Linked DNA regions of Ovis aries. The protein of the gene in region 1 interacts with the protein of each later gene in a pairwise test. Links are inferred from orthologs where the notes say so. Each region holds a gene or a part of one and is shown in the gene's direction. Other genes may lie near its edges.

Region 1 (5,221 bases):
GGATAGGGTAGGACAACAGCAGCTACTATGAATAGGATATGACTTGACGGAAATTATCCTTGAGCAAAATTATTCTGTAAAGTAAGGTAGGAAGGACTCAAGTGGGTAAAAGAATATAGACAGGTCTGTTAAGCTCTTGCTATCCTCTCAGATATGAGGTGTTGAGGGTCAGAGCCAAATTGCAAAGTGTCTTTAATTTTATATCATTGGATATAAAATTTCACGTAATGATTTGAAGATTACAGTAAGGTATTAGGCTATGTTTTATAGGGTGGTTTACTGTCTTTTTTTAACTTGACTATACTTATAAATACAAAATACTGTCACATTTTATTATTTCATTTGATCCTCATGAAAATTTTCTGCAATTGAGAGAATAGAAGTTATTTTTCCAGGCTGTTTAAGAAAGTAACCAAGATTTGGAGCAGCTTAACAAGTTAATTCCTTGAACAAATGTCTGAGTGCCTACTATATGCCAGTCACTGTTCTAGTCAGGGTTATATAGTTTGCTAACGCTGGAGCCAGAGTCAGAATTCTTGATACAGGATGTTGATGGAAACGTAGCCGCACTGCATTTATTTACCGGTGCGCTTCAGAAGGCCACTGGCACAAAGCCCAAGATGCAAGTCTTGGGAAATATAAATGCTGGGTGGGGCATACAGAAAAACATACGCCTTTTGGGTATGACCTATAAAGGAAAGGTTTTTATGTTTGACAAGTAGCACATCTCATACATTTTTTTTATAGAGCAGGATAATGTATATATATTTTAAATACTTTTAACTACGGATTAAAGGTTTAGGCTTCTTAATTATATAGCCCACGGAGGGCAAGGTATGTGTCAGCAACCATGATAAAACACATTTTATGAAGCAATTTTAAATTTCATAAGTGTATAGCTTGATTTCTTTGTATTCTTAAAAGAATTTGCAAGCAAATACATAGATACTTTATATCTCAGTCATAGAGACATCGGAGGTGTTCTATTAGAAGCTCAAAGAGTTCAGACAAAGCACTCAAGATAATAATAAAAAAAAAACCCACTAACACCACCAAATCTTATTTTGAAACAGAGATCCTAAATTGAGGTTTACAGTAGTCATTTCTGACATGTAAAAGCTGGTTTTCAAAGTTGTCTGCCTAGTGTTTTTCTCACAGACATTATTTTTACTTTAGACTGGATGTAAGAAACTTTGTTCTTTGATAAGTATGCCTTCAATACATTTAAGTTACAGAGTCCAAATCTTTCTCAACAAAATGTTTAGGGTCTACTTGACTTGATTATATTAGCATAAAAACACTAGCTATTTGCATATACTCCTACACACACTTAACACACACATATCCAGTTTCCAATTTTTTAATTTTAAAACTGTATATTTTAAATTATCATTACAGGGAGATTAACACTGACTAGAGAAAGCAGGGCACGATAAGTGTGTTTCCTCCATATCAAGTCCTAAAACTAGAAGCAAATGTCACACGTTTGGAGGTTTGTACACAGTGCTGTAAATATAGTTTCCAAGGTCCCTGTCCACAGGGCTTTCCTGTTTTGCCAGGACGAAGAACCCTGCTCTCCACACGCTGGTGTGGTCAGACTCACCAACTGACTACCGAAAAGGCACATTTCTTTGTCAAATTTATTTGGCCCTCTGTCCTTGAATCATAGTTACTGGTTTTATGGTCCAGGGCAAATAGTCTTGAACTATTTGCAGAGCCAAGACATCTGCATCGGATGCATCATAAATCCAGCAATCTAATCCCCCACTCCCCGACCACGCCGTTTCTTTTTGAATGGCGATGAGCTGTAAGTCAAGGCCATGAAAAGCGGATCTTCATTCCGACTAAGTGTGGGTGACACCTCAAAGGTGTTTCTTCTTCTACCACTGGATGGGAAACCTTGGGACGTCTCCTCGCACAGGCCACCTCTAAGAAGCAATGGCGGTGACACTGTCAGATGAGACACTGAACCCATGCTGTCAATGGCCGACCCCTAAATGCACATCCCCCAGCCTCGCGCTCCAGCCGGAAAGCCCAGAAACCGCAGGGAGCTTAATCCATTCCAGCAACAGTGCAAGTTCTTGGAAGCGCAGATTCCCGCCTCTTCCAGGCCGCGCGCAGAAATCAAACTAGACGCAGGCTCCCTGGGGGCCTTGCCGCGCGCGCTCCGCTCCCTCCGCCGGCCTAGCCTCGGCCGCCGCCCGCCCAGCCGTGGAGCTGGGCGGGGCCGCCTCGAGGCAGCGGGGCAAGGCGGGCCGACCAGGAAAAGACGCGGGAGGCACGCTCTGCGCAGGCGCGCGGCGCCCCGCCTCCTCAGCGTCGGCTCTTGGGCGGGCGGCGCGGGCCCTCCCACTCTCCCCCGCGCCGCCGCACCGCCCCGGCCCTCGCTTCACCCCGACGCCCGGGCGTGCGCGTCCTCCCGCCGGCCTGCAGGCCCGGGGCCTCTGCCTGCCAGTCCGCCGCTGCTCCTCGCGGCCCCGGCTCGCGTTCACGCTGTCGCCCGGGCCGGCGCGGCCGCGGGCAACCGCTCCCCCTCACACACCTACCCCGCCCCCTCCCCGCCTTTTCCGCCCTCTGGTCCCCCTCCCTCGGCCCGCCGCCGCTGCTCCAGATGAGGTGATGGCAACGGCCAACTTCGGCAAGATCCAGATCGGGATTTACGTGGAGATCAAGCGGAGCGATGGTGAGCCTCGCCGCCGCCCCTGCCGTGCGGCCCCGCTGTCGGCTGTGCGCGGCGGAGACGCGGGCGCCGGCCGCCTCATTGATTGCTCCGCCGGGCTGTGGGGGCGGGAAGGCGGCGGCCGCGGCGCTTTTGTGTGTGGCGTGTGTGCGAGTGAGGCCAGCTTGGGGTCCGCCCCGGGTGCCGCTGCAGTGCCGGACCGGGGAGGAGCCCTGCGGGAGGCTGGGCCGGGGGGAGGCCTACGGGGAAGGGCCCGGGGGTCTTCGGGGGTGTGCGTCGGAGGGTCCCCTGTCGGGGGGCCCCCCGCTCCTCCCCCGCGATCTCCATCCTCCCCGGGGACCGCCGCCCGGGGACCGCAGGCTCCGATAGGATTGACCCAGCCTCGCGGCTCACCCCGGCCTTTTCATTTCCCGGCCTCATCTGAGGGGATGAGGGGTGAGGAGATCGTGAAGACCAGAGATTTCAGCATTTAGGGAACCGACTACTGGTCCGAGGCCAAGGTGGGAGAGAAAGGCCAACCCCATTGGTTTAAACTGTTCGGTTGTCAGGTTTCTTCGTCTTTCATTTCTCGAGCATGTCTCTTTCTTTTTTGCCAGTCCCTTCCTTGGAAGAAGGATGGGGAGCCTGTGGTGCTCAGCCATGAATAAGGGTGGGGGAGCGAAGGGAAGAAGTATTCGATAAGCTTCTCAAAGGTGATGAGACTAAAAGGGAGGATGATCCTTGTCTGTGCGAGGCACTCCTGAGAGGGTGGGGGTGGACGACCGGATGTTGATAGTCTCACACCCTCCTGAGAGGTAACCGAGAGAAAAGTGTCAGACGCGGTGGAGGCACATGCCTAATTAAAATTATAAAGAGAGAAAAAGCCCTAGGCTTGTGTCTCTTTCTATAGGTTTCTCTTGGGGTAAATGTTTTACGCCCCTAACCAGCCAGGTTTGGAAATAATTTATATTGTAAAGGAGAAAACGCATGGAGGCGGGTAAAATTATGTTTCAGTCCAAACATTGAGCGAAGTAGAGGTGTGTAATACCGAGAGGCGTGCGGTGTATCTTATCCTGTGCCTTTAGGTTATGGCTTATTATCGTTTAGCCTAGTCAATGGTAACTATCGCTGTCTGATCTACAGCCTCTACCGAGAGGCTTCTACCAGGTTTGACCAAGTTATGTGAAGCTTAGATTGACTGTCTTGTTTATCTGTGATAACATATATTAGAAGACCCTGTCCAGCTAATGATTTTTTTCCCTTTCCTTATATCTGACATAATTTGTGTCAACATTATTACGCAGTATGTGAAAAGATAAATTATAACACATAGACCTTTAGAAGTTACCCATAACACTGACGGGAAAGAGATGTCTCTCTCACTTTGGTTGGGGTTTCTTCGTGTTTTCTCTTCAAATTGCTTTCCTTAAGCTGTGCTGTTACGGTAATTTCATTTTTAGGTAAATGCAGGTTCACTGTATACTAGTAAAAGTAGGGTTTATATATATTGTTTAAAATTTGGGGGAGAAGCAATAAAATGTGTGAGTTCTTTACATTCTAAGACTTTTAACTGTGATTGTAGGTTTAACTGTAGAAGTTATCAGAAAAAGTATCATGATACTTGAAAGGTTTGGTTAATTTTATGTTTTCTGGGCTAACATCTTTTTAAATGTGTCAGACTGGAAACAGTTTTGGTTTGGGGGGGATTCTAGGATATTCTTTACTTAGTACTATAATTAGTACTCTTTCTGCCTTCATCTTCTGCCTATACCAGAAACCCAGACATCTAAGAGCTTTGTGTTCTTACATAAGTGCTAGTAACCTAAAATCACATTTCAAAGCAGTTTGCCCTTGAGAAATAATTGAAATCATTACGGTGTATCTCATCTTAACTTACAGTCATGTATGTATTTATGTTCCTCAGGTGCATAGTAGAGTTGAAGGTAACAGATAAGCAGAGAACTTAAGGGAATGATCATTTGCATTGGGTAGTGCTGTTTCACAGTAGAAATTGATGTCTGGGAGACTCACCTAAAGCCTTCCCTTTTTCACTTTAAAGAAGCTGTTTTGTTTCCTCCCATTTCTATGGTGTATCTGTTTGGATAAGACATTAGTGATCATTGTAACAGAAATAAACTTTGCAGTTGAATGAGCACTAATGTAATGCCTGAGACAGTGGAAACCACATGAGTGAAGAAGGGCTGTTCTAGACTGCTGTTCACTGGTGATTTGATGTTTCTCTGCATGCTTGCTAAGTGGTGATCCTTGTCCTTGTTTCTGAGCATGCTTCTCCCATCTGTGATGCTTATATATTAAAAAAAAATATTTCCAGGTAATTAATGTGGACTTGTTAGTATCTTTCAACATCCTGCTCAAAACTAACTCCCAGTATGTTTTCATTGATTACTAAAACTGGATGGCCAGTCAGTCACTGAATTCCTAAGTCATTAGGAGACTCATGAGACAGCATATTTCCTCAAGTATTAATGTTTGGGTACATTTTTCTTAATATTATGTTTTCAGACTGCACCAGAGAAGGGGTGGTTTGGAGAATGCTATTGA
Region 2 (5,121 bases), on another chromosome or scaffold:
TAGATTTGAGGAGTCATGCTTTTTGCCTTTGTATCTTTAAGGTTTCTCATACATATACAGGCTTATTCATTCATTAGTGTTTAGATTTTTGTCTTTGAGAAGTTCCTGAAAAACTTCTTGGACTTGTGGAATATTATGCTAAATATTTTTGAAGAGGCTAGATGTCTTAATGTCTGAAAATTTTCAAATTTAAACATATGTATTATGTGCCCTCCACATGCCAGGCACTGTGAAAAGGGCTTTTGAGGTGTAACAAAAATCAGAATGTTTCTTCAAGAAATTTCTTCAAGACTTAGATTTTTTAAAAAATTTTCTTCAGTGTTTAAGGAGAGTAAATGATTTACCTAGTATTACTGAGATGTTAGTTGTATTTCACTGATCTAAGGGAGCTTTACACTTTGATAGTTGGAAAATATCAGAGTAAAAATACAACTTGGGTATTTACATTTCTAAAATGAGATTTTTTTTCCCATACAGTGAAAGGTAGCTCAAAGCCAGCTTTCATTTATAGGTAATTATTTCTTCAAAATTAACAATTTGACCTAAATACTTCAAGGGTATCTTTAGTCACCCAGTTGCCACCCTTTGAAAACTTGCTTTGTGATTTGGATATAGTGTCGGATTGTTAAACTGTAAGCCATATCATTTGATGTCATGTATTTCTTTTGTATTATTCTTTTTTACATTTCCCCCCATTTATCCTCTTGTTTTGTTTCTCTAGAATCTTGTTTTCATTTTTTAAAATATGCAAGCTGTAATCTAAACAAGTGTTTCTGAAATGCCATTATTATATGTATTCTTAATATTATCTTTATATGTTGGAACTTGTTGATCCCACAGCTTGTTCATTTATATCTCCCTCTCTACTTTCCTAGAGAGACAATTAAGGTGTGAAAGTTTGCTTCTATAGTTTTTCGCCTATGTTTATACTTCATGGTGTTATAGATGTTCTTTATTTAGCTATATTCTGTTCATTTTTAAGGTCTTTTATAGTTCTCCCTCTCAAAGGGGAGGTTGAGGGTCTTGAATCATTCAAGTATAAAATTGGGTGTGTGCATCTGTGTCTGTGTATTCACTCAGCTGTTACTAAACATTGTGCTGTATGCTAGAGTTTGGACATATTAAACAATGTCATTACCCTACCAGCTTAGAAAACACAGCAAACTAATCTACTCTGTAAACTTGATAAAAACTGCTTCTAATATACCATTATTCTCAGTGATGGGAAAAAGTTGGAAGGCAGTCTGTTGACATGTTTAACTTTGTTATTTACTGTTTAAATGAAGCAAGTTAATGTGACTTAAAAAAAAAATTTTTTTTATTGAAGGATAATTGCTTTACAGAATTGTGTTTTCTGTCAAACCTCAACATGAATCAGCCATAGGTATACATATAACCCCTCCCTTTTGAACCTGTCTCCTGCCCCATTCCACCCCTCTGGATTGATACAGAGCCCCAGTTTGAGTTTCCTGAGCCATAGAGCAAATTCCCGTTGGTTGTCTATTTTACATATGGTTAATATGGGTTTGAAATGAAATTTTCACTTAATTGACTCATTAGAAAGTTAATTATTGAGCTTTTTTTTTTAAAGAATAACACTCTTTAATTGTTTATGCGTAGGTAAAGCTGATCTAAGTAGAAGTTAGTTTTTGAGAAGATAGTATTCTAAATTTGTTTCTACTTGTGTAAGAGAATTTACTAACAGTAGGGTTTTACAGCTATTTATATTTACCCTATGTTACAGTAAATGTGTATAATGTTACAATAAATCAAAATAGTTTTATAGCAGTTGATATCTTAATCAATAGACGTTTTAATTTCCGATTGAATAAATTGATGAAATTTATATTTACTTCTTTTTCTTTTCAGTGAGTATTACTTCAGTATAGAAAATTTGGAACGGGATTTCTTTCTTAGGAGAAAGATGGACGAGCAAGGTTTCTTGCCTATTTCCCTGATTGCTGGTTTCCACCGTGTTCAGGCTCTCACTACAAACCTTAATCTCATTTTGGAGGTAATTATTCATATATAGAACAGTCTGTACTTTCAGTTACGCTCTGAATCTAAAGCTGCTATAAAAAATAAATCTATTAAGTAATTTTAAGAAAAAAGCAAAAACATTCTTCCCTGGTAACAGAGCTGGTAAAGAATTGGCCTGCAATGCTGGAGACCCCGGTTCAATTCCTGGATTTGGAACATCCCTTGGAGAAGCGGTAGGCTACCCACTCCAGTATTCTTGGGCTTCTCTGGTGGCTCAGATGGTAAACAATCCACCTGGAATGCGGGAGACCTAGGTTGGATCCCTGGATTGAAAAGATCCCCTGGAGGAGGGCATGGCAACCCACTCCAGTATTCTTGCTTGGAGAATCCCCATGGACAGAGGAGCTATAGCCTATAGGATCGCAGAGGTGGACACAACTGAGTGACTAAGCACAGCGCAGTAACCTAAGACTCTTACTGTATCTCAAGGCTCTTTTGCCATTTTATAAAATCCAAATAAATGTCTAACCTTGGAAACCCCTCAAAGGATTACTGATGTTTCTACCTGTTTTTAATTGGATCCTTCTTGGTTGGGTTGAACCCCAAAACAAACTTAAACATTCTTGGGTATTCTTGGTCCTTTAGTATTTAGGTTGCTATAAAAGAGATTGTATTCTCATCATTAAAATTTTGAGAAATTTTCCTGTATACCAAGGGCTAGTTTAAAATAGTTATTCCAGATGTGTTCTTAAAGCTTTTATTAAATCTCTTGTCTGTTTTGTTGTAGAAATGGTTTCAGCATTTTTGGTTTTCCGTTCCCTACATATATACATAATATTTGCCCTTTTTCCTATATAGTTTTCTGAATTTTGGCAGTCTTACACACTTGTGCCAACCTGTGTAGCCAATCTCTTTCCTCATACATAGTCCCTTGGGACACTGATCTGATTTTGTTTTTTATCCCTCTAGTTTTGCCTTTTCTAGACCATCATGTAAATAAATTATACATCACTAGTTTGTAGCCCTTTGTTTCTGACTTCTTTGACTTAGCATAGTGCTTTTGAGATTCATTCTTGTTGTTTCATGTATCAGTTTGTTCTTATTGTTGACTGGTATTTCATAGTAAGGATGCACTGCATACAGTTCACTTGTTGATAGACATATAGATTGTTTCTGGTTTTTGAAGATTATGAATAAAGCATAGGTCTAAATATTGAGGATTGTGATTGCTGGAATCTGTGGTAAGTGTATGTTTAACTATAGGAAGTTGCCAACCTATTGTCCAAAATGGATTTAACCATTTTGCATGCTGCCATTTTGTATGAGAATTACATTTGCTTCTCATCAGCACATGGTATTCTCGGTTTTTTGAATAATGGTCGAAGAGTCAGACGTGACTGAGTGTACTCAGATCTCTAAGCAAGCTCTAGCTCCGCTATCATTTTCAATGAAGGTACCGATTTCCTCTGGTCTCCCTACCTCTAAGAATCTGGTTGTAATTCATTGCATCCTTTTTTGGTCTGTTCATATTCCCATTAAGTTCTTAATTTTTATATCACTGATTGTCTACTTCTATTATAAAACTTAGAGCAGTGGGGAAGGGATATTTTTAAAAGAACTTTTGCATTACTATACTGGTTAGCATTATTAATATGTAGTGGCTGATTTATAGTAAGAAATAAAACTGTTGTGAAACAGAAACATATAAGCATAGTGATTTAGAACAGCATAGGTCTGTATTCATTTAACATTCATTATGTACCTACCACTTACTACAGTAGGAAAGATGTCTTTTTTTTTTTTCCTTTAGGAAGGTAGGGCTTCATTAGGCTTTGCAGTGTAAACATACTGATTTAAAGCATGGACTTGAGGACCTGCATACATATCCTCATAGCTCCGGACTTCAAGCACTTCAGGCAGTGTTCTGAGGTTTCTGTAAAGTGGACTTCATGGGGTTGTTATGGGTATGAAATCTGTAATGACAGTATCTGGCATACACCTTAAGCTCTAAATAAAAATTCACTGTTACTTATATACCCTTCTATTTATTACTCCTTTTAATCAGCTTTTTCAAATATGTATTTGAATATGCTCAAGTGTTAACTTTCTTGAAAAGCTATCAAAGGAAGCAAAATACACTTTAGCTATTTCCCATCTCTACCTTGGTTGAGAATGTCTACATAGCCACACTTACTGAATCTGTTTCCTCCTTTCCCATTCATTTTCACCATACTGAATTCTTTTTCTTTCTCTCTCTCTCTCTTTTTTTTTTACTTATTTACATATGTATATTGTATTTTGATTGCTCTTGTAGCATTGTCACTTAACAGTTATAATACAATATTGTCTATAGTCATTGTACTGTGCATTATATTGGTCACTTATTTACTACTACTTATAAGTAAGTAGTAGTAAACAACATCGGTCTTATCCCCTCATCCATTTCCTGGTAAGCATTTTCTTCTTTTTTTTTAAAAAACAGGTTTCATTTTTTTAGATTCTACATATAAGTTATATCATACAATACTTGTGTTTGTCTTTTTCTGCCTTTTTTTATCTCACTTACTATAATGTGTTTAAAATTAATCCATGTTGTCAGAAACAGCAGGATATCCTCCTTTCTCATGATTGAGTAGTAGTCTATTGTGTATATATACCAAATGGTTTTTATCCATTCATTTTTTAGAGGTCATTTAGGTTGTCTCCATATCATGGCTACTGTGAATAATGCTGAATACATTTGGGAGTGCATGTATCTCTTTGAATATTTTTCATTTTCTTTGGATATATACCTAGAAGTGAGTGGAATTGGTGGATCATGTGATTCATCCAGCTTATTGCATTCTTGATAGTTGCTCCAAAACTGAGCTATTTGTGTCTTCGTTTTTTGTTAGATTTAATTGATTCTGGCTCTGCATTTAGTCAGTTGTATTCAAGTTATTTAACATCTTACATGCTAAAGTTTTCTCATTGTTAAAATACAACAAATAAGTGCTTAAGCTATCATAGAGTATGAGGACTTAGAGGAGTCATTAATATAATAATCATAAAGTCCTTAGAACTGTGCTTGCTACTCTCATCTCAAACCTTGTTGCCCAAATTGGCTGACCTTGCGGTTCCACAAAATGTGTGCTGCTCTTT
Region 3 (5,221 bases), on another chromosome or scaffold:
CCAGAGCTCCATAATGGCAGATATATATTCTACCTGATACAGGCCTGTACTTCTTGACCATCTCCGAGAAACTAGGGCTGATAAGAAGAGACTTCGGAAAGCCTTGAGAGAATTTGAGGAACAGTTTTTTAAACAAACAGGAAGGTAAGTGTGGGCAGAGATATTTTTTAAGCTAATGACTCCTAGAGAACTAAGAGTCAGGAGTAAGCTCAGATTTTTTGTTTGTTTGTTTTTTGCAGTAACGGTGACTTTATACAAGACATAATTTCCAGTGACTTACAACTAGTGTTTGTCTAATGCAACATTTGGGTAGTATCATTATTGGGTATGTTTTATAGAAGGATGTAGCTATCAAGTATAAGACATGAATCTTTAAAAAAAACAAAAGATGAACTCCCTAAATTCCCTAACTTTGCATAATAAATCCCATTATAACTATTGAATTTATCTAAACCTTAAATAAATCTATCTGATCTTTCAGCCCATGTTAGTTCTCTGTTCTAAGTTGACTGTTATATAAGTCCAAGTGACCTACCTTTCTGCTGATGGTAACTATCTAATGAGAAATGTTATGTGGTTGTTAAATTCAGAATATAAAACAATTTGTTTTCTTTTTTCCTTTACAAAATTTCTATACAACTTTTACATTTTTTAACCTATCCAAACACAGGCAATTTAAAGAGTTTGAGAACCTTCTGGTGTGTTATTAGTCCTGCCAAATGGGTCTGCAGTGGTACTTGGCATGCCTCTGACATCCAGGGAAGTTAGTCATGTTCTATGTATAGTATTTTAAATGCACCAGTGAGTGGGAAACCCACTTCAGATATGCTTACTACTTGGTTGAGGTTATCTGCCCTCTTGTGGTAATACACTTAAACTAAAGGCAGAAGCGGTGCCATATTACAAGTAAAATCAAATAGTCGAATGGCTACGAAATACAGATCTTGTTTTTCTAAAACATTTCATTGGGAAGGGTTACCTGTCCATAGGTAAAATAACCATGCAAATAGATAATTAAAAAATTTAATGTTCTATGAATGTTCTTGGTAAGAGTCATCATGCAAGAAGCATAGTTATCTAGGTATGACCTTAACAATTATGAGCCAGGACCTGTGCTAAATGCTTATGTATGTTTTATATAATGAGAAAAGTGGTTAAGGAAATACTTAGTACAATGCATTCTTGTTTATTAGATAAAGAGGAGTGTGCCGGACCAGAGATAATTGCATCATGAACTATTAGTGTTTCCCTATAAATTAGACTATTTCTTCACTTAGGTATGTTTACACAAATTAAGGTGGCATTTAGATACCCAGTTGGGATAAGTTTGGCCCAGAATACAGAATGGAGTCAAAGGAATTATGTTAGTCTAAAAGGAACTCTGGCTGTAGATTTGTATACTGTTCTGAGTTCTGAACTAGAGATTTCAGGGAAGACTCTTTATAGATTCCCAAAGAATATCGTTATCTACTGGTGTTGTTAACACTATATATACTGCCCTGAAATTTCTAGTTCAGAACTCAGAACAGTATTCAAATCTATGTGTACTGTTAGCTGTTCTTTTATTGGTAAGAAATATAACTTTATCAGTACTGGTAAAATAGAAGGGGTATAGGCTGTTTGCTTTTTACCCATTTTCAGCTATACTTATGTTACAGAGTTTATGTTATCTGTGTTTATATTCAATAGCAGTGGTGGTGACTTCATCTGGGTTTTCCAGTCCTTGTATTTCAAAGTCATGGGTGGAAATATTTTAAAAGCAATTGGCCATCTTTATTAACTAAGGAGATCCTGAACTAACTCTTGTCCTTTAGAAAACATATCCTGGCAATGTAAATTTCTGGGAAGGCAGATGATTTTAACTCCAGATGTTACCCAATTATCCTTCAAAGTAAATGTCAAGAACATCTGGCAGTTAGGAGGCATATGTATCAAACTGGGCATGATCCGTAGTCTAGTCTTAGTAGGATCAGTGTGCAAAGAACCACTACAATTTAGACTCAGATTTCTGAAAGGAACTTCTCTGTGACTCTTCTATACATTAACAGAGATAGGACTATAATTACAAGAAAGTTTAGAAATAATTCATGTTTGTAAGGTAGCTACTGAACTTTTCCCTCCTATTACCATAGATTTATAAGTTATTTCTGTTAATGTAATTTTCGTAGTATTTTTAGGTTGATATTTTAAACAACTATCACTATAAGGGCTGAATATTCTGCACAGGCTTGGATGATGGAAGAAAGACTAGGTAAAAAAATATCTTGAGGGTTCTGGTTTTTATTTCCCGCAGACCTTTCCTCTTCCCCAGTGTTATATGTCTATGCACTGGACAATGTTTTGCAAAACACTTATAATATTTAACTTCTCAGAGCACTATTACATTGAAACCTAGTAACACATGGAAGAGGGAGAGGAAAAAAGACTTGATGAAAAAATCTAGCGGAAATTGTTACCCTGTACTTTTCTCACAAGAGTTAAAAAAGGATTTTTAATGACTTGGTTCATTAATGATCTAATGCATTTATATATATATATATTTTTTGCAGAAGTCCACAAAAGGAAGATCGGATACCAATGGCAGATGAGTACTATGAATACAAGCATATAAAAGCCAAACTGAGACTATTAGAGGTCCTCATCAGCAAGCAAGATGTGGCCAAAACTATTTGAGGTTCAGGAAATGTTTGTGATCACTTTCACCTGTGATAAGGCAAGTTTATTTTCCTCTGCCGTTCTTGCTAAGTAGTATGACAACTGAAAACTGAAGCACTTTAGTGGGAGTATTAGCTGTTGTTAAGAATGGATGGCAAGTGTAATTATACATGAATAGAAGGGATTAAAATGGGAGAAAATACAGTAAGTAACATATAATTGGAAAATAAAATTCAGCCTTCTCCATGCCAAGGAGAAAATGCAGTCAGTATAATTACTTCAGAAAACATGTATTGTATCAAACCTAAGTAATAAAAAGTGTCCACCTGTTAAATGGACCACTGGTTAGAGAAAGTCTACTTAATGTCCAAAGACTGCTTATACTGACATACGGAAAGAGCATGATTTTTAACCCAATAAGAACAACAAAAGAAACTCATTTTACATAGAAAGGGATACAGTCATTAAGAATGTAATTTATTTGAAACTTCTAATAGATTTTTAAGTGATAAAAAATCTACTACCTTGTCCCTTAAGTCTGCTAGGCTTTCAGCACCCTAAAATATACTAGAATGTGTCACTGCTAATTTTTTATTTCTATATAAAAATAGCACATTATTTTATCTGTTCCTTAAAATTTTACATTTCTGATTACCAAAGTTCATTCTGATAGCATGTACTTTGTGAATTATCTTTGTTTATAATTGACAGATGTTTATATTAAAATAAAATATTGTATTAAAATTTGAAAATAGGTATTTTGGATAGATGTGTCTGTAGCATATAATCTAATGTGATCATAGTTATAATAGCTAATCTTTTTGTTTACTATAAGATATATAAACTATTTTTCCATTGGGAATATGTGTTTTTCTTAATGTTCCAAGGTCTATACTTTGTAAAGTCAAAAAAATTTCCCATGAACTATAGTTGTTACTCATTCTGTATAAAATGAAAGGTTTAGTACCTGTTTGCTGTAACACCTTGGAAAAGAAGCCAGGATACTTTATTTGCATCATTAACTTCAGTGTATATTGTTTTGTTATTTTGTATTAAACCACGTTTATTATTTTGCTTTTGTAAAAATAAGTAAAAGGTCCACATTTTCTCTCTCATACCAGCCACGTTTGTAGTTCTCTTTTCTGTAATGTTTAAGCACAATGGTGAACAAATTCACATTTTCATATAGTTTGGTTGGGATTGACTATTTCTGAAGCAGATGGTTTCAGAGGCTTACTGTTTTCTCTATAGTTACCTATATTTACCTGATATTTTATAACCTTTATGAATCAGAATAATGTCCTTCACAAATTTGTTTAATTAAAGTTATGTACTTGTAACAGGACAGATACACAACTATTTGAGGTTTACAAACTACATCTTTGATAAGGGAAATGGTTTCGTGACATGTATACAATTGCTATTAAGATGTAACTCTATATATTCTATAAGATTGTAAATATTTTATACAACAATACAAATAAAATATTTTTCTATTATATTTATTATGTTGAAACACAGTAGTTGTTTCCTGTTAGCTAATATAAATAACATAAATAACACTGTCAAACAACAAGTTGGAAGTGCTGACAATTCTAGGCTTCAAGATTTAACTCATGCTGCAATTACACTTTTTCATGCGGTTTGGAGTTATCCCAATATTTGTTCAGTAGATTAAAATGAGAGCATATTTAAACACCATTTATAAGCCATTATTTTGTATTTTACTAAAGCAGTTTATATAATAGTTTGGTTATGTTTGGCATAGAGGAAAAATAAAAACATTGCAGCATCTAGGCAAGAGGGTGTCAGAAACAACTCAGGACAGTTCATCTCTCAAAGTCGTGGGAAGGGTAGGGACTGGGAAACACTACAACAGCTCGGAAATCTGAAAAGTGATGGTTCGCTTTCGGTGACAGTGGCATGGGCATGCTTCAGTGGAAAACATCTGGGTGATGAAAATGGACAACAGAGGATCAGGGCTCCTACGGGAAGAAAGGGGGCCTCAGAATAAGAAAAGTGGGCATTAACGTCCAACACTAATATTACAGGTTTTGCAGCTGGGATCTTTCTTTGCATTTGCAGTAGATAAGCTCATGAGCTGATGACCAGTGATTTCTGCCACGGTGCCTAGAGAAAGATCCACGGGGTCAGTGTAAATGACTTCTAAAATGACATCCTGGGCATGGTGGTAAACCAGCATCCCATCTTCTTCTCTGCACGTCAGAAATTTATTATCCTGGGAATTTAGTTGAGGAAGGCGCTGCTTACAAAATTCATCTCCTGGTGATCCCACAGGAGCAATGACCAGAATCACATAATGATAAGCAGTGTACATACAGTAGAAGTCCCCAAAGTATAAGTTAGTATTGGGGTTAAAAAGTTTTTCTGCTGCAATCTCAAACCTGTATCTTCCATAAGGTGAATCCTGGGGTGGCTTCCCAGTATTGAATTCAGTGCTGCAGCTAAAGAAGATGCCTTCTAATTTTCCACTGATAGGAGAGCCATGGCTGCCACTGTTATCCTTGACGGAGGGCTGCATAGCATTCCCATGATGTTCTCTGCA

The links.
Region 2: the proteins of KIF2A (region 1) and LARP1B interact in binary tests that used the Homo sapiens proteins (3 or more experiments, as listed by UniProt). The two-hybrid records come from large-scale screens. The link is inferred for Ovis aries from reciprocal best matches to the Homo sapiens genes KIF2A and LARP1B.
Region 3: the proteins of KIF2A (region 1) and FAM13C interact in binary tests that used the Homo sapiens proteins (3 or more experiments, as listed by UniProt). The two-hybrid records come from large-scale screens. The link is inferred for Ovis aries from reciprocal best matches to the Homo sapiens genes KIF2A and FAM13C.

What each region holds. Positions count from the first base shown.
Region 1 is NC_056069.1:17,226,367-17,231,587, reverse strand, and holds the start of KIF2A (kinesin-like protein KIF2A), read left to right. Parts: upstream 1-2,351; 5' UTR 2,352-2,619; coding exon 2,620-2,683; intron 2,684-5,221. UniProt on the Homo sapiens protein: Plus end-directed microtubule-dependent motor required for normal brain development. May regulate microtubule dynamics during axonal growth. Required for normal progression through mitosis. Required for normal congress of chromosomes at the metaphase plate.
Region 2 is NC_056070.1:29,870,921-29,876,041, reverse strand, and holds part of LARP1B (la-related protein 1B), read left to right. Parts: intron 1-1,869; coding exon 1,870-2,014; intron 2,015-5,121.
Region 3 is NC_056078.1:14,231,290-14,236,510, reverse strand, and holds the end of FAM13C (protein FAM13C), read left to right. Parts: intron 1-42; coding exon 43-144; intron 145-2,549; coding exon 2,550-2,673; 3' UTR 2,674-4,156; downstream 4,157-5,221. Other genes in the region: PHYHIPL (phytanoyl-CoA hydroxylase-interacting protein-like), read right to left, coding at 4,682-5,216.